Linked DNA regions of Caenorhabditis elegans. The protein of the gene in region 1 purifies or fractionates together with the protein of each later gene. This does not show direct contact. Each region holds a gene or a part of one and is shown in the gene's direction. Other genes may lie near its edges. The genes, in order: T21H3.1, gst-1, ttr-48 and cpn-4.

Region 1 (5,067 bases):
TCGGAGAAATTTCACAGGCTTCCAGTTTTTCAAGTGGAAACAGTGAGACAGCTCTAGTCAAAAGTAAGAGTCAAAAGTAATACATGAATTCGATTTAAAAATTACAATTTTTACAGGCAACTCAACAGAACTGAGAACCTTACCACAGGAACGGGGATCCGGTTAATATGTGCCAAAAAAAATTGTGATCCAAAATTGTAATTTATTAGTGTTGTTTTTTTTCTCCACATTGTTTTCCTATCAAGTCTCAACTACGGGTGCTCGACTTCATTGACGTCTGTCTCATTCCCAGTTTTCTTTTGTGATAAATTAGTTAAAAAGAATTTGCAAATCAGTTGTCATTGCAGAAAAAACTAAAAATTTTCTGAATAAAAACTCACAAAAAATCAATCTTCAGGTGACTTACTGATGAAAATAAAATTTGTTGAAGATTTGTCTTTAAAGGTTGACTAGCGTCACGTGGTGTCAAAGTGTCCCATTTTAGTTTGATCTACGAAAAATGCGGGAGAAGAGACGGAGATTTTTCAACTGATTTCGCATGGTTGAGAGTATGCTGACGTCACATTTTCCTGGGCAAAAAATCCCGCATTTTTGTAGATCAAACCCTGATGGGACAGCCTGACGCCATGGGTAGCGTTTGCGCTAATTTTGCCCTAAATGGTCGAAAAACAGTCTTAATATATCAATTAAAACTATGAAAAAAATTTACAAAAAATTTCTAATTTTTTCATGATTTTATAAATTTTGAAAAAAAGAGCTGAATTATTTTTGAATTCCCGCACAAATGAATGACGTCATTTTTGGCATTTTTGCATTTTTGGGCAATAAATTTGATTTTTTCAATATTTTTCAAAAATTTTTCAATATTTTTTACAATGTTTTTCAGACATTTTTCGGCGCAGCAAATGAAAAAAATTTGCTGAAACTCCAAAATTGGCCTAAAATCAATAATTTAGCATTAAAAAAACGTGTTTTTTTGGGAAAAATGTCTGAAAATTTTGACAAATTATGCGTCAAATTATGAAACAAAGAAAAAGTAAAGAAAAAGCAGTCAATATTCCCAAAAAGTGTCAAAAAATGACGTCATTCACTTGCGCGGGAATTCAAAAAAAAAATTATATTTCCTGTTCGAATTTTAAAAAAATCATTAAAAATTTAAAAAATTTTTATACATTTTTTGACAGTTATATTTGTTATATTGAGACTGTATTCTATCATTTAGAATTTAAAAAAAACCCACCTGTGCAACTCCAATTTTAAGGTAAGCGGGGATAAAGTTGGCTTGACAACATTTTTTGGAAATTTAATTTTCTTAAAGTTTGCTGATCAAATCAAATATCAGCCTTTCAAAAACATTTCATTCGGAAATTTGATTATTTGATTTTTCAGGTAGAATTCACGGATTTTCGGCTTCCCTCATAAATTGAAATGGAAGAAATTGCCGAACTAGGCCATTTTGGCTCGGCCATATCTTGGGTAGATTTACGGCGCGTTGCGTGTCGCGGCTCGATTTTAGTTGTGAAACTAAATGCATTTGTCCGTGTGGAGTACAGGAATTCCCACGCGTTGGCGATTGTCAATGGAGCGCAAAAAATTCAACGAGGAAGGCCAGAACCCCGTGTAGAATTTTTTTTAACACCACTGAACATTCAAGTATCAAGAACTTTGTTCATCTCCTACAGTGTTAGTTTGTGGTTCGAGGAATCAAACGACCATTTAAACTACTTGCGTAATCCGGTTCGATTGAAAATTTGATAAAAGAGCACAAGTTAAGCGGTATCATTCATATCAACGACTTTTTTATAGGTTGTGTGATATTTGAAACGGAATTGGTGATAAGAAAACGGAAAGTTAATAAAGAGAAATCGAATAGCAGAGTATCGTCATTTTCCCACCTTTTCTCCCAGTAATCATGTTTTAAATGTTAATTCGAAATTTGCGGCAAATTAAGTTTCGAAGTGACGTCACACAGGCTTCACTTCGGTGACGTCACGTGTTTCTGAATAAGATGTGTCACGTTTTAAAACGATTTTCCAACTTCCATCTCATTTGTTAACTTTAAATTATTCTTTCAGTATGCAAGCCTTACTGCTTGCTGCAGTCCTTCTGCCACTGGCTTCGGCCTTTGTGCTACCAGAAGCCCCAAAAAATCCAGAGAACCTCGACGTCTATACCATCCCATACAACGACGCCACTGCTCGCAAGAAGATTCTCTTCGCAGCCGGCGCCGCCTACGGATCGAATCCACAACAGTGCCTCGACAAAGCGTTCACCGGTGCCTCAATCAGGAGAATCATTACGGCTCGCTGTGACGTCAACCCAGCCGACAAATGCGTCGGATACACCGCCGTCAGTCCACAGGACAAGGCGATTATTGTGGTGTTCCGTGGAACTAACAACAATGTGCAGCTTATTTTGGAAGGATTGGAGACTGTCTTCGAGTATCACGTAAGATTAAAATTTCGAGTACTCCGGAATAAATGAAGCATGTTTCAGACTCCATGGGCTGCTGGAGGTGTCGTCTCCCAGTACTTCAACGACGGATTTTTGAACATCTGGAACGCCGGACTCAAGGACGATTTTAACACTCTTGCCGCCCAAAACCCAGGATTCCAAGTTTGGGTAAGAATTCGTAAAAACTGATAAGAAAATGATTATTGATGGGGTTAAAGTAGACTGTGCTCCCGTGTTGTTGACAGCTATCGTAGTCTAGCAAAATATACTTTGCGAGTTCATGAAGCAAGTGGTTGTTGCATTTCTACAGTGTATTCCTACACTTGTGATATAAGTGAGTATACCCCCCAGGAAGACGCAGACGACATGAGCTGGGTTGGTTGAGATCTCGATCGAAGTCGGCTGCACGTGGTCCCAGGCTGTCTCATTAGGGTTTGATCTACAAAAAATGCGGGAAATTTTCGCCCAGAAAAATGTGACATCGACACGTTCTTAACCATTCGAAATCAGTTGAGAACTCTGCGTCTCTTCTCCCGCATTTTCTGTAGATCTACGTAGAACAAGCCGATATGAGACACTCTGACACCACGTGGGCTGCAGTGCAGCTACACAGTACGTCGCGCAAGCCTTGATGCCTGATAGGTGTAACAATAATGCTTCGTTAAATTTTTTTTTAAAATAAAATAAGAAGTCCAGATCAGAAACGCGGGAATGTCAGTGGTCAACCTCGAACCACAAAAATGTTATAGAAACTTAAAACCCATTCCACGTGGTGTCAGGCTGTCTCATTGCGCTTTGATCTACAAAAAATGCGGGAATTTTTCCCAGAAAAATTGTGACATCAGCACGCTCTTGAACATGCGGAATCCGATGAGATGTTTGCGTCTCCTCTCCCGCATTTTTTGAAGATCAAAGCAAAATGGGACTTTCTGACTCCACGTGTCATTCTTGTTGGCGCATGAGCAGGACCCAACCAGTGGATAAAAGATCCTTGTGGATCCATGTGATGATCCCGTGGTGACAATGGTTTCTTGAAAGTAGTCCTATCATTTCCCGGAATACTGTTTAGTGTAGCACCCAAGGTGGTCCACATAAGAAAACGCGGTCTCGAACATTGTCCGTTGCAAATTTATTTTCGTCTCCCAAGGCTCAAAATCATGGGATTCTGGCCTTCCTCATTGAATTTTTCGCGCTCCATTGACAACCGCCCGCCGGACAACGCGTGGGAAAGTCGTGTACTTACAAAACTTCAGGTCACCGGACACTCCCTCGGAGGAGCGATGGCCTCCCTTGCCGCCTCCTACATCACCTACAACAAGCTCTTCGACGCCTCGAAGCTTCAACTCGTCACCTACGGACAGCCACGTGTCGGAGACAAGGCCTACGCGGCCGCCGTCGATCGTGACGTCACGAACAAGTTCCGCGTCACCCACGCCCACGACCCGGTGCCACATCTTCCAAAGGAGAACATGCAAGGATTCACCCACCACAAGGCCGAGGTGTTCTACAAGGAGAAAATGACGAAGTACAACATTTGCGATGATATCGATGAGAGCGAATTCTGCTCCAACGGACAAGTTCTTCCAGACACTTCTATCAAGGTATAAATCGTCCAAAGTTCTTTACTTCACCAATACTTTTATTTTTTTAGGATCATCTTCACTACTTCGACGTTGATGTCAGCGACTTGGGCTACTCAAATTGTGCTAATGTCAAGAACTAACTTTTCAATGTTTTAAACAATAAAATAGTTCACAACTGATTCAGTGGTTCAGAGTTGAAGTGGTGGGCCTGCCTACGCGCCTGCCTCCCATATGTTCGCAGAGGTCCGCACCAGGAATGTGCGGCAAATTTGCCGAATTTACCGAATTCGCCGAGCTCGGCAAATTTCAAAACAGTAGATTTGCCGAATTTGCCGAGCACGATAAATTTCGAAATTTTCCGCACACATCAAAAATTTTTTAACAATACAATTTTGGCCAAAACTATTGATTTTGTCCCCAAAAATTTAGTAAAATGGCATAAAATTGAGTTGTTATTTTGATGCTTAAGCAGACACACTACACGGAAGTTATTCAGACACCAGATTTTTATTCAGAATTCAGTAGTTTCGGTGCTCCAAAAAACATCAAAAAATATCAAATTTTCGGAGTTAATTAAGCACGGCAAATTTGCCGAATTTGCCGTGCTCGGCAAATATTGGAAGAAGAGATTTGCAAAATTTGGCGAGCACGGCAAGTTTTGAGATTTGCCGCACACCCCTTTTCCGTACAGGTTTGAGGCAGGCGTCGGAGCATAAATAGCTAGTAATTCCCTTGATAACAAATGTGACAGCAATCTGAAGATGACGTGATGTTCGTCATATTTCCAAGCAAAGTTAAATGACAAATTGCCTCGGAGCAACAGTAATCCCAAAATCAAACAACAAAGTCACACTTGCAACCAGAACTTTTTTCACTTTTCACAGAGCTATTTAAGTTTGCAAATTTTCAATTACAATTGTATTTAATGTATTTGACATTCAAAATGCTTTTTATTTTCTCCGTTTTAATTTGCAAATCATTCTCCCACAGTTCAATACCATATTCCGATCAGCTCTCTCGGAATAAACTG
Region 2 (3,936 bases), on another chromosome or scaffold:
TGTCGAGGAATCTTGATATGACTCCAGTAAAATCGCCTAGCACAAGAGCCATTTCGTCGGGTTTCAAACGAGTCGATGCGGAACCACTTCGTCCTCTGTCTTCGGAAATGAATTCACAGCACAGAGACGAGGAACTCAGCTTCAATGAGTCATTCGACCGATTAAAGGTATTTAACAGCATTATATTTAAAAGAAAATGGTTTTAAATGACAAGTGGTCAGAGGATTTCGAACCCCCCCCCCCCCCCCCCTCTTTCTTCGTTTCAGTGGCCACGTAAGGCGCGTAGTTCAGCAAAGTATATTTTTCGTAGACGTTAAAAATCATTTCTACATTTTGGCTCAATAATGACCGTCAGTTTCATCCTCCTATTCTTTCTTCAAATTATTTTTCAGCTCAACTCAACAACGCATCTTATTGACGATACGTCGGAGCAGAGCAAGTACGTGGCGTCGAAGCTGGCCCAGATCTCTGGTGACATGGGAGCTCAGCAATACGAAGGACTTTTGTCGATCCAGACAATGTTGTGTGAAGGCTCATTCACTCTTTGGGAGCAAAACTTCGCCAAGCTGTTGATCGCTGTCTTCGATGTGCTCTCCAAAAGCGAATCAGACGCCAACAAGAAAGTAGCTCTGCGCGTTTTGACAAAGATGTGCACTTCGCAAGCATCGCGCTTGTTCGACTCTACGGAAATGGCCATCTGTAAAGTTTTGGATGCTGCTGTCAACTCACAAGACGGAACGATGAACGTGACCGCTGATGACTGCTTGAAAACGCTGGCAACCCACCTTCCACTGGCTAAGGTGGTTAACATCTCGCAGCTCATTTTGAATGAGGTAAGTTCAAGAATTTTTACATTTAGGTAATCTGTTTGTCAGTATTTGCAGGAGAAAGCTCAAGAACCCAAAGCAAGCTTGGTTCTGAAAATGATGACCAGATTGTTTGAAGGTCTCCAAGCCGACGAATTGAGCCCAGTGGTTGATGATTTGGCGCCATGTGTGATCAAGGTAACTATTTATCAAACATCGCAATTCATTAATGAAATTTTTACTTTGCAGTCTTACGATTCCCCATCGTCTGCAGTTCGGAAAACTGCTGTCTACTGTCTGGTCGCGATGGTGAACAAGTTGGGAATGAAGACAATGGAGCCACATCTTCAAAATCTGTCGTCTGGAAAGCTGAACCTTGTCCAAGTCTACGTCAATCGGGCAATGTCGTCCAGTTCACATTCGCACGTATGATTCGTCGTTGCAATGTAGCCCATAATTCCCCCGTATTCGTATCCCAAATTTCCCCCGTAAAACCTTATCGTCCCTTTTCTCTCATCCCTTCACTTTGTAATATAATTTTATTTGTCAAGAGCGGGTATTGCACACTTTCTCTATGCTCCTTTTAGCATAATTTCCCCCGACTTATGTCCCTTATGATTTTCGACCCCCGTATTTCTTATTTTTATTTTTATATATTTTCTTTTCTTATTTATTTTTTATATGAATATTTCTTAAATTTATTTCTTGTGTATAAGTTGAAAACCGTTTTTTCGTTCAGGCCAATATATATCTGGAACAATAGGTAAAAAACTTTCGGTATTCAATTAGCCATCACGTTTTGTTGACAGTAATCTCGTTTCAGTGTTTTTTCTGATCTGCTACCGGCGCCAAGACTAAACTATTGTTAATTTTCTAGAAACTTCTCTGGCATTTCAACGTCATCCAGAACAATTGTAATCATCTTAACAACTTTTTGTCATCATTTTCGTGCTGGCCACGTTGTCTTTCTCTTTCATTCCAGTGCTCTCTCTTGCTTGTTTCGTCTAGCACCCCTAGTACCTCCACGAACTATAAAAGCCGTTCTATTTGTCCACTTCTCACATTCGATTTCTTTTCTTAATTCTCTCTTGAAAACAAAAAAAACCAGTTTCCACATTTCAAGTGTTTGTTTTCAGTCAGTATTCACTCAACTTCGTTCAATATGACCCTCAAGCTCACGTACTTCGACATCCACGGACTCGCTGAGCCAATCCGTCTTCTTCTCGCGGACAAGCAAGTTGCCTACGAGGATCATCGTGTAACCTATGAACAATGGGCTGATATTAAACCAAAGATGGTGAGTTATTGTTTTCAAAGTTTTATTTATTTTTATTAAATGATTATTTTTCAGATCTTCGGCCAGGTTCCATGTCTTCTATCCGGAGACGAGGAGATTGTTCAATCTGGAGCTATCATCCGTCATCTCGCTCGTCTTAATGGTAACCATTTAAATGTTTTCTTCCGGTATCTTATAAAACAATTTTCAGGGCTCAATGGCTCCAACGAGACAGAGACAACTTTCATCGACATGTTCTACGAAGGACTTCGTGATTTGCACACCAAGTACACCACTATGATCTACAGAAACTACGAAGACGGCAAGGCTCCGTACATCAAGGACGTTCTTCCAGGAGAGCTCGCTCGTCTGGAGAAGCTTTTCCATACCTACAAGAACGGAGAGCACTACGTTATTGGAGACAAGGAAAGCTATGCGGATTATGTGCTGTTCGAGGAGCTCGACATTCATTTGATTCTCACACCAAATGCTCTTGATGGTGTTCCAGCACTCAAGAAGTTCCACGAGAGATTCGCTGAGCGTCCAAACATCAAGGCATATCTCAACAAGAGAGCTGCTATCAACCCACCAGTAAATGGAAATGGAAAACAATAAGCTAATTCAATTTTTTCTCATTTTGCAATCATCAAAAATTCCAGTTTGATATAATTTATTGTCTTCCTTAAAGCTTCCAATGAATCTCTGCTTCCCATACATCGTTTCAGTCGTTCGTGGAGCCAATACTCGGAAAATTATTCACTAATTTTTATTAATGTAACATTCAACAAAACATTTCAACCCGTAAGCCCATATACAATCAAGAAATGCAACAAAAAAAAGAACATCAAGTCTTATGCAAAATTTAGATGGAAACCCGTATAGCTCTAGAAAATAAGGAATTTAAATAATAAATGACGATTGTTCAGAAGATTCAAAAATAATGAGCTGGTTCGGAGTATCGCGTCATTGGTTCATTCTGCATTTGGGTGTACGATGTTGAAGCTCTTGTATACCACATTTCGCCATTTCCAAATGCTCCACATTGTGGTTGGAACTGAAAGTAACGTTATTTTAATTTATGTACGTTATATTTGAACTTTGTATATTACACATACGCGTAAAACGGTCTTGGCACGACAAATTTCTATTGAATGCGAAAAGGTGTGCGCCTTTAAAGATTACTGTAATTTCAAACATTTGTTGCTGCGGAATTTCCTTGTTACATTTATGTGATTTTATTGTTGTCCAGACTTTTAAACCATAACACTTATTTAGATTGGAAAGACTTAAAAATCCGCAAAAACACAAGATTCGAACTACAGTATTCTTAAAAGGCGCACGTTCTATTTAACAAAACTTTGTCGTGTCGAGACCGGGTACCGTATTTTTAATTGCAAAATTACATTGTTTCCCGTCTGTTCAGTTGAAGCTTAAAACTAACCGCTTCTGAGCTTCCAGCTTCAGTTTGATATTCTGGGCTCAAATAGTTCAAACTCGTCGGTGTAGTATGAGTGGTATTCATAAAATGCTGTGGTGACGGTGTTGACGTTGATCCATCCGATGGTGGAGGTGTCAGATGAGTTGAGTCTCGAGAATTGGAAGCTGACTCTTTTTTGCTTCGACTTGTCTGTTTCTTCGGAGCTCGAGTTACTTTTCTTGAAGGTTGTGGTTGATGGGTATGTTGGATGTGAAGATCCATTGAATATTCTCGTTCTGGACGACATCTATCAAAAATATCAACAATATTGTGATGGTTATTTGCTTGAGCGAGTTGACGAGCCGTATGATCCTGGAAAATTTTTAGATTAAATTGATTTTTTATATACTTCGAAACGCGTAATTTATAGGCGCAAG
Region 3 (4,836 bases), on another chromosome or scaffold:
GAACCCACGTCCCGACCATGATAAGATGACAGATATTGCAAACTCTCTAGAGCTCGACCGGGATGTTGTAAGGGTATGGTTCTGTAATCGTCGTCAAAAGATGAGAAGAGTCGATGAGCCAATTGAGGGAGAAATGGTAACACCGTCTGTTAGTCCTGTCTTCCCGCATTTTTCATCTGTAAGTCAATTGAATTTTACTATTTTACTCATTATGTATTTCAGATGAGTGCGCTGGAGCAAATTCAAGAAGCCGCTAGGTTAGCTTCTTGTCAAGCCAGCAATGATGACAGTGAGTTGAAAATTTCATCAAGCTCACATATAAAATTAATTGTCTACAGGTGACGGAACATCCGGAAGCCCAGATGCACCATCCAATGACGGCTGCTCGGATCTATAAACTCCAGTTCACTTGTTCACTCTCAAGTTCACTCTCTGTCCACATTTTCCTTATTCATTACCTCAACATTTTGCGTCATTACGGTAATCAAGAGCGTTCAAAGCAGTTCAAGCAGTTTTTTTTTCAAATCTCTGCATTCTTTCTTCAAAATTCAAGCATAACATTTTCGATTGCACACATAATTTCTCATTTTCCCCCCATTCCGGTTGACTGTTCTATTGCCCGGTTTCTCGTCTGATAGCAGTATGTTGCATTTACAACTCTTTTATTCGCTTTTCAAATACCATATGCTCAGGTTTTTTGTCCCGCTGTTTCTTTTTTCTTTCTGATTCGCACGTTTGATTTCTCGGATCCCGTAGAACTTTCTAGCCTAATAAAATTATTTTTTTTTGATGTGCTCCACACAATTGAGCAGCTTCTCAGATGCGGTTAGTAACTCGATTTTCATGGTCTTTTCTGCCATTCACCCTCACCTAATTTCACAGCTTCTCTCGTTTTGACTAGTCATCAAAACGAATACACACCATTCTTTTTGTACGCTGAAAGTTCATGTTTTTCTCAGAGTGTTTTTGCCTTTTTGTGTATCTATGATAATTGTACGTTCCGGTGAGATTTCTAGGTTGTTCATCTCATTCTTTCCCGATAATTGCTTGAAACCCACCGACACACTCCGTTTGAATATTCACCTCCCCATTCTTCCTGGTGCATAGTTACGATATATTCAATTGGAACTGCTGGTTTCGATTTTTAAAACCCGGAGCTTTTCTTCTGATAGGGTCAATTTTTGTATGTAACTTTTCGAGAACAGTTTTATTTTTTCGCATAATTTTTTGATAAATATTGAACACTTTCAACATTTTCCAGAAAAATTTAATTTCAGATACAGGTATTTTTTGTGAATTTTCATCAAAATTTAAGTGGAGTCACCACAAGTTAGGTGTGGTATGGTTTTGTAAAAATTTGTTTTAAAAATAATTAAAAGTGTTGTATGTTGTATAAATGTTGTTTTTTTTTTGGAAGTCGCCTATCAAAAAATTGTTTGAATAGGTTGGCTATGACATTTGGTCATTTTTGCATCATAGCTGGCACCATGGTTTTTTAAAAATGTCGCAGCGTCTAGAAACTAATTTTTGTCGTCCAATTTTGGTTACAACATTTTGGGTATAACTCTGCGACATTGACAAGTCGGTCAAATTTCAAATTATTCTAATTTTAGGCTATTTTTTGAGCTGTAATAACTATTTTTAATAGTTTTCAAGAAGTTTCATTATGAAATTCGGTGTTTTCAGACAATTTTAAATATAATAAACAAATAAAAGAAATTCGACTACACCACCTTTAAAACTCCAAATCACGTCAATAGATGTATTTGTTCTTATTTGTGTTGAACCATATGTTGAATAATCATCAACTGATCATATAATCAATATAAATTGTTTATTTTTCTTTTGAATGAAGAGCCAAAGTGTCCTTATTGTCAATAGCTTCGCGATAAGAGTGATAAGCTAGAATAGTGTTGACCAGTGTTTGGTCTATCAAAACGGTTTAGAAACTTGATAATGAAACTGTACACTGCGACCGTTTCATTTTGATTCTTCCCAAGTGTTTTGGGAAGCGTCGAACATTTTGATCAATATCAATTGGTGTCTACGTGCATCTCTATTGAGAGGTCAGGTGTTCACTGAGCATTTTGTTTTCCGGTATCTTCTTCAATATCCTTTCTATTGATTCATGAATCGCTGAGAAATACGTTTAATTATCACATTTCAGCATGATTTTCATATTTATCGCCGCTCTTCTTTTACCAATTTCATACGTTTCTGCTGGAGCGGATCTTGATGTCCCAACTAACATTGCCAACAGGTAAATTTAATTTTCAATTTTGTAAAAATCAATTTATATTTTTAGAACCATGGCAGTCAAAGGACAACTGTATTGTGGAAAGAAGCCTTTCGAAGGAGCCAAGATCCGACTTTTCAGAACATTTCAACCAAATGCAGCAGATGGTAAGTAAGGTATCAAGTTTTGAGCAAGACCATAATCATGTCAGATCTCGCCGAGCTACTCGACGTAAAGAACACATACATTACGGGAATGTTCCAAGTTGAAGGAGGTACCGCGAGGTTTGTTATTTTTTGCTGAGAAAAGGTTATTTAAAAAGTCAAAAGTTTTCTATTCATGTCTTGCTTATCAATAGTGCCAATAGTGCGTGCATTCGAAATGAAGTGAAGTATGTCAGAATTATCTTGTGCTGAAAACATTATGAGAAGGAAGTTTTACACATTGTTGTAGTGGCATAAATTGGAGAACAGTTTGAAAATACAAGTTCTGAAAGGTGGAGCACGGTCAATGAAAAATAATGGAAACGCATTCATATGACCAAAAACTGACCGAATATCTAAATGAAGTTTTTCAAAAGTTTTGGAATATTTTTTCTAAATAAGCGTAAACTGAGGTTTTACAACTTTTTGACTCGAAATAAATAATTTTCCGAAGTTATTAAAAAACATTTTTTAGCTCCAGAACAATAATGTTTAATCGTTTTCACACTCGCTATTTTTCACCATTACATCGACTGGTTTTAGTATCTTATATAGAAAAAGCAATTCAGACGAACAATTCTAACAATTACAAACTTTTATTTCACTGAATGAATATATTCTTACTCATTTTTTGGGGTCCTTAGAATCTTATCAAAAGTTAAGAGGTTTTTGGGTTTAGAAAAACATTCGGGAAGCTCCTCGATACTTCAAATCTCTACACAAAATATAGAAATTGTGATTCTCATCAAAATTGGAGAGATTTAAGGAAACCAAAGATTTTCAGCAATTTTCGGGACCTCGAAAATAGTGCTAAGTTCAACTGCAACATTTCAGAAATAGCTGATAGCAATTGCCTTGTTTTAAAACCTGGAATTAAGATTAAAATTTTGTTTTTATAAGTTTAACTTTCAGATTCCCACGTACCAAAACCGATATCCAGCCATATGTCACAATTCATCACAACTGCGGAATGGACAATAAGCAAACATCCAATGTAAGTCAAAGACCAGCACTTACGAAACAAAAATCAATTATTTTTATAGTACGGCTACAAACGAATTGGTGTCCGTCTTCCAGAAGATTACGTAACACTCGGAATCAAAGCAAGAAAGGTGTATGACTTTGGAATTCTCAATTTGGAGTTGGAGTTTCCACAAGAGACCCATGATTTGAAGTTCAAATTCACCGATTAAATTTAACTTTTCTTTCACAATTTTTTTCTTCATTATATTTCACATCAAATATTTTGAATTTTATTTAGAAGTTGTTCCCCATGAATGCAATCAGTAAAATTTCTCTTCTCATTTCAAAGCGCTCGCACTCATTTTGTTTTTGTTGTTTGGCACTGGCTGTTGTTCTGTTTTGGAAAACGGATACATCACGCATATCAGATCAGAAAATATGGAGGAAAAGGACGTGGTGTTGAGAAAAATAAAACCACCCAGGTGAGAAAGAGAAGAATCTCACGAAACTTTTCTCATTTGATCTTTGTTCACCGGAGGACAAGCCTTGAAACTGTTCATTTTATGAGAGCTGTTATTGCACGAACCGAAAGAGGGCGGTTTTTGAAAACTGACAATATGGACAGTAAAACTTTTCAGTATTGTTGTGTTCTGTGTTCCGCCGTTTTCGACAACAATTTCCAGTAAGTTTCAATGTTTTGCCGAATTTTCTCTGTATGGAATTTTTATGATACATAATGAATTTTCAAAATGGGGTTGAGCCATTTTTTTAGATAAATAACTGAAACTTTCATACTGTCCAAAAAATTATTATTTTTTGTACACTGAAAAATTTATGCAATACAGTTAGTTTGTGATGCACGCATAGTGGCTTAGAAAGCACACGCGAGCTCAATGATCAATTTTTTGCTAGTCGAAGTGTGTCCCTATGCTGCGAGGTTTATAAGGATATTGAAAACTAACTGACATATCTAGAAAAAACGCCAATTTACAACTCCTTCACAAGATTGTGAAGCAAAATGTTCTAATTTCTTTAAATTTCCCACTCTGAACGCTTCTCAAAAGATAAATCGAATTTTTTGTACTTTGCGAAGCTGTGGCAACTTGCTGGCTTTGCTTTAAAAAACCAATTATACTTTTAAAATGCTCTCTTTTGAGCCACGCATATATTTTTTAATATTTCAATAAAAAATTGGAATTTTTATATGAAGTAAAAAATGAGGGAAAACTCAGTTCTTACTTATAATAATTTCGGAAGTTCGCCAAAAAAAATGTTTACAAACTTTATATTATTCTTAAATTGTATTCATTTTTATCGGAATTATAAGTGTTTAAACCTGCAGCAATGCTCGAAATTTTGGAAAATTTGGGTATTACCGAAGCTAAAAATATTGAAGAACGTCTATTTTTTTTTACAAATTTAAAGAGTTTGAAA
Region 4 (4,858 bases), on another chromosome or scaffold:
TTTGAAAAAAAAATCGATTGATTTTGAGAAATCTGAATTTCCTCGAAACTCCGCCCATTTTTCCGTGCCGCACTTTGTGTTTTCAACACGAATTATTCATTCTTCAATTTTTTTCTTCGAATTTTGGTAGTTTTGTGCACTTTAAGCATTTAAAACTGTGTCTCCGCTTGAAAATTCGAAGAAAAATGGAGAAATACGAAGAATTTGCAATAAAGTCAAAGTGCGGCACAGAAAAATGGGCGGAGTTAAGACACAAAAACGCGGTAATTCAAATTTGCCAAAGTCCACTGTTTTTTCAAACAATTTTGGCGTATTTTAAACCAAAAAAATCTGCGTTCGGGGGGAATCGAACCCCCGTCGAATGCTTGGAAGGCATCCATGCTGACCATTACACCACGAACGCGGCGGGTAACCGGGGTCTTAATGGGCTTGATGTTGCGGAAGAGAGACCCCCGACAACTGTCAGTTTTATAATGGCTTCCTGGAGGCAAGTATTTCGTCGCGTTCGTGGTGTAATGGTCAGCATGGATGCCTTCCAAGCATTCGACGGGGGTTCGATTCCCCCCGAACGCATTATACATTTTTACATTTTTCTTTTCGATATTCAGGCTAATAATTAACCTTTTCCAGGGAATCATATGTCACCGTCCTGCACACATCAAGAATAGTGGAAGATCAGGAGAGATCGCAGTTCCACAGACTCCATTCCAACAACTTGGCTCAAAATCAACAGCTGGCCCATCCACAGTCACATCGGATCAAGCTTTCGTCCGTCAACCCAGGCCTGAAGCGGCCCGCTTATTCTCCGGACCAGTTCATCAGCTCCCTCCAATCTCGTTCATCGCTCCACTTTTTATCGAAAAATCGTTGCTTCCACCGCCTGTACGTGGTGTCTAGAAGCATCTAGAACACTTTCTGATTCATCGCTCTCTCTTTTTGTTTTTGGTTTTTTTTTTTCACAAGTTTCAATCATTTTTTATTGTTGCCTTTCTTTTTTTCAATTTTTTTCCCTTCCACATATGCTACAATCCTTTTGTTATCACACACACACATTTGTTATCGTTGTTGATTTTATTTGTTCATGAATTCGTTTTTTTTAAATTTTTATTTATTTTGCATGATTTTCTTTCAAAACGTACCTTAAAAAAACAGAAAAAATTTCAATGAAATATTAAACTTGTCCGAGAGAAGTACACACGTTTCGCGAAAATGCACAGACTGTCAACTACCGTAATCGGCATAGGCGTAGGCTTAGGCTTTTTCTCATGTTTAGTCTTAGGCCTAAAATTAGGTTTAGGTGTAGGCTTAGGCGTAGGTTTAGGCTTAGGTTTAGGCCTGGACTTAGGCCTGAGCTTGGTCTTAGGCTTAGGCAGGCCATAAAATTTCTTGTGAAGTCTACAGAAACTCCAAAGAAACCAGTAGAAGTAGAGGTGGAAATTAGGATCGGGCCTTTGCCTGAGCCTAAGCCTAAGCCCTTGCTTAAACCTAATTTTGAATATCAGCCTAAACCAGACAAGCCCAAGCTTAAGCCTAAGCTCAAGCCTGAGCCTAATCTTAAATCTAAGCCTACTGGCAAGTCCAACTCTAGGCCTACTTTCAATCGGGCTTTATCAGCAATTAAAGATTTAATATCTAGAGAATGATGGCAAATACTAACATTTACTTTTATTTTTCAAATTTATCACTTCACTTTCAACACAGACACAGTTGAGTTGCTCAAAAGTTGCAAAGAGTCAATAGGTCAATAATACAGGTTTTTGTGTATCCCCCATCTCTCTCTCAAGTGTCAATCACTTTCAACCGTTCCCTTCCAAAAAAAAAAAACGAAAAAACGTTCTGGAATGTTCTGTGCTCGAGCTCTCACTCTCTTGTTGTTTCGAAATTCATCCCCTCCTTGGGGCTCTGACTCCGCCCATTGAAATTCGGGGGCTCACCTCCCGCGGATGAGTCGGCTCTAGCGTCCACCCACACGCGCAAAAATCAACACTAACCTTTTGGAAATAGTGTACAGATTCGACGAGACGCAGACAGTTTAGTCAAGAATATAAATAGGAGCTCGGTGAGCAAGATCCTAGAGTCAGAGCTCGACGAGCAACAAGACAGGCACAACCAGTTTTGCCACCTCCTTTGTTTTAAGTTTCGAAAATCTTCGAAATTTGATTTTTCTTACTGATTTATACTTTTATACTCTACTTTTTGTTGAAAATTTTTGCCTAAAATTTGAGACTTTCTAGCAAAAATGTCACAAAGTTATCATCGACCAAGACCAGCCGGTATGGCCGGAGCCATTTTGGACAAACAGGCAAGCAAGTTCAATGATGTTGAAGCTGGATACTTGTTGGAATGGATTCGGGTAAGATTTGGGTAGATTTACGGAGTTCAGTGTGGATTTACTAGAGAGTGATGTAGTTTTACTTTATATGGAATTACAAAAGTTTAATGTCTACATATATACATGTAGATTTACGAAGCTCCACATAGATTTGTAAAGTTAAGTGTATACTTACGGTCAGTGAAATGTAGATTCACAAGACTCTGTGTAGATTTATGCAAGTTCAGGTAGATATACGTGATAACATTGTACATAGATATCAGGTAGATTTACAAAACTCCATGTAAGCCTATAAAGTTAAGTGTAGAATTGCCGCTTCAGATTTACAGATATATGCGTAGATTTACGATGATTCATGTAGCTTTACGGAGCTTTTGTAGTATTCACAATTTATTGTAGATTTACGGAGCCTTTTGTAGATTTACAGAGTTTCTTCAAGATTTACTCATCCCCCTGAAAAACACCAATATAATTTCAAATTCTTTTCAGGACTTGACAAAAGAGGATTTCGACTGTGAAGCATCTCGGGACAATTTTCGCGAGCAGCTCAAAGACGGGCAACGATTGTGCAAGTGAGTGTCTTTTTTTTGTCTATTTGTACGTAGAGTTGGGGGATGCAAAATGTCAATAATAATCACGAACTGTTTGGGAAATGTGAGATGCTCTGTGAGCTTAAGGTGATGTGATTTTGAGATTTTATTTTCTGTTTTGTGATTATGTTTGTTTGAACACTTTGGATCCTATTTTCCTAGAACCTAGAACAATAAAGTCTCTAAAAAAAACTGTCTTTACCAGACTTTGTGTTTTTACGAAAAGTTTACGAAAAGTTCATGTAGATTTACGAAAGTTCATGTAGGTTTACGGCTTACAAAACTATGTAGATTTACGGAGCACCTAGCTTTACGAATGAGCTATTTACAGTAACCCTATTCCAGACTCGTCAACGCCATCAAAGCAGGAAGTGTGAAGAAGATCATGAAGCCAATTTCCAATTTCAACTGTCTCGAGAACATTAATCAATTTTCCACTGCCGCCAGAAGTCTCGGAGTCAAGGATGAAGAGGTTTAATCTACCATATACTTTTGGCGCGATGTTCAAAATTCAAATCTTCATTTTTTCAGACATTCCAATCTGTCGACTTGTTCGATGGCCGTGACCTTTTCTCCGTTACAGTAACCCTTCAGAGCTTGGCTAGAAAGGTAATAATTTGGTTTTCATTTGCAAATTGATTTGAAAAACTCCAAATTTCAGGTCGAAAAGCTCGGAATCACGCCACCAAAGCAAGTTTCCAAGGACCAAATCGTCAATCAATAATTTAAATTTTTTCCATTTCATATCGGCTTCAATCTTTTTTCGAAATTTACTTTTATTCACTTTCTGTTCCCAATTCACTTTTTATAAAGATTTTTCTTCCAAATTTTTTCTGAAAAGTTCTGCAATGCCGCCAAGGATTTTCCTGCTGATTTACGGTGCTCAATGTAGATTTACGGGGCTCTATGTAGATTCACGGGGGTTCATGTAGATTTACGAGGATCCATGTAGATTTACGGCGCTCGATGTGGATTTACGGGGCTCTATGTACTTTTACGAGTCTCCTTATAGACTGCGTAACTTCAAAAGTTGAATTGTTGTCATAGGATAATAAATTTTATTTTCTTTTCAATTTTAAACGTGAAATGAAAAGTTCAAGCTCTTGCACTCTCTCCAAAATTTTATTTCTAATTATATAAACTTGCTCGAACTCTATTGTGAAAATGTATGGACCAGGATATGCTCCATATTATGGTTCACCATATGGAGACCCATGTTATGGTCCGGCCTATGGTCCAGCCTATGGGCCTACTTATGTTCAACCAATTGCTCAACCAGTTTATGTACATGATACACGTGCGGAGTGAGTATTTTATTGTTTTCAAGCTTTTCTTAATAAAACCTTCCACCACTTTTATTATTAGAGCGCGATTGCACATACATATACTTTAAAATTTTAAAATTTTTTGTTATTTCAGAGAAGCCTGTTGTGCCGGAGCCTGCTGTATGGCACTATTCTGTTGTTGTGCAATGAATTCTTGATATGTGCATTTATTGTAGAATTAACTTAAAATCTTCAAATCTTCAAAAATGGATAAATCACAGAAAATCAATGGCCTGGAATGTTTGTAATTCAATTTATCTATCCAAATATGGGACATGATCCGGCTGCTCCGGGAATCGATTGTGCCAAACGAAAAAGTAGAAAAATGTAGAATCTGTGATAATTGTAGCCAACATTCCATCTTCCCGTTCGATATCGGTTCCTCGTTGGCAATTTATGAAACGATGGGAGCCGAGGCAGTTTCTGAAAGTTCGAATTTTTAAGATCGTGAAAAAGACAATCTCTTTCTACAACTCACGTTTCAAAATCCCAATCATATCTCTTATAATACTCGGCTCTCTTCCCTTCGTCGAACGCTGAAATTTCCAAATCCTTGAAAATATTCCATGGATTCGAATCCTCCTCTATTAAATGCAGGATTGGAATTTCCA

What was found.
Region 2: the proteins of T21H3.1 (region 1) and gst-1 fractionate together in Caenorhabditis elegans (co-fractionation; one large-scale study listed by BioGRID). This does not show direct contact.
Region 3: the proteins of T21H3.1 (region 1) and ttr-48 fractionate together in Caenorhabditis elegans (co-fractionation; one large-scale study listed by BioGRID). This does not show direct contact.
Region 4: the proteins of T21H3.1 (region 1) and cpn-4 fractionate together in Caenorhabditis elegans (co-fractionation; one large-scale study listed by BioGRID). This does not show direct contact.

The regions. Positions count from the first base shown.
Region 1 is NC_003283.11:1,174,649-1,179,715, forward strand, and holds T21H3.1 (Fungal lipase-type domain-containing protein), read left to right. Parts: upstream 1-2,075; 5' UTR 2,076-2,076; coding exon 2,077-2,448; intron 2,449-2,496; coding exon 2,497-2,622; intron 2,623-3,707; coding exon 3,708-4,055; intron 4,056-4,105; coding exon 4,106-4,177; 3' UTR 4,178-4,216; downstream 4,217-5,067. Other genes in the region: ptr-16 (SSD domain-containing protein), read left to right, coding at 1-63, 117-166; F25A2.1 (Fungal lipase-type domain-containing protein), read left to right, coding at 4,981-5,067.
Region 2 is NC_003281.10:9,057,389-9,061,324, forward strand, and holds gst-1 (Glutathione S-transferase P), read left to right. Parts: upstream 1-1,942; 5' UTR 1,943-1,968; coding exon 1,969-2,103; intron 2,104-2,157; coding exon 2,158-2,245; intron 2,246-2,293; coding exon 2,294-2,697; 3' UTR 2,698-2,793; downstream 2,794-3,936. Other genes in the region: cls-2 (TOG domain-containing protein), read left to right, coding at 1-167, 393-833, 876-1,004, 1,056-1,238; lin-12 (lin-12/Notch intracellular domain), read right to left, coding at 3,014-3,136, 3,524-3,871. UniProt on the Caenorhabditis elegans protein: Conjugation of reduced glutathione to a wide number of exogenous and endogenous hydrophobic electrophiles. Prevents dopaminergic CEP neuron degeneration in response to Mn(2+).
Region 3 is NC_003284.9:3,839,780-3,844,615, reverse strand, and holds ttr-48 (Transthyretin-like family protein), read left to right. Parts: upstream 1-2,167; 5' UTR 2,168-2,168; coding exon 2,169-2,260; intron 2,261-2,305; coding exon 2,306-2,403; intron 2,404-2,447; coding exon 2,448-2,520; intron 2,521-3,351; coding exon 3,352-3,433; intron 3,434-3,482; coding exon 3,483-3,632; 3' UTR 3,633-3,747; downstream 3,748-4,836. Other genes in the region: Homeobox protein ceh-18, read left to right, coding at 1-178, 223-289, 339-397.
Region 4 is NC_003279.8:10,923,128-10,927,985, reverse strand, and holds cpn-4 (Calponin-homology (CH) domain-containing protein), read left to right. Parts: upstream 1-2,235; 5' UTR 2,236-2,239; coding exon 2,240-2,353; intron 2,354-2,821; coding exon 2,822-2,904; intron 2,905-3,267; coding exon 3,268-3,394; intron 3,395-3,453; coding exon 3,454-3,531; intron 3,532-3,583; coding exon 3,584-3,646; 3' UTR 3,647-3,746; downstream 3,747-4,858. Other genes in the region: F49D11.10 (WD_REPEATS_REGION domain-containing protein), read left to right, coding at 631-897; F49D11.7 (Cysteine-rich transmembrane CYSTM domain-containing protein), read left to right, coding at 4,087-4,226, 4,342-4,405; F49D11.2 (F-box associated domain-containing protein), read right to left, coding at 4,502-4,670, 4,726-4,858.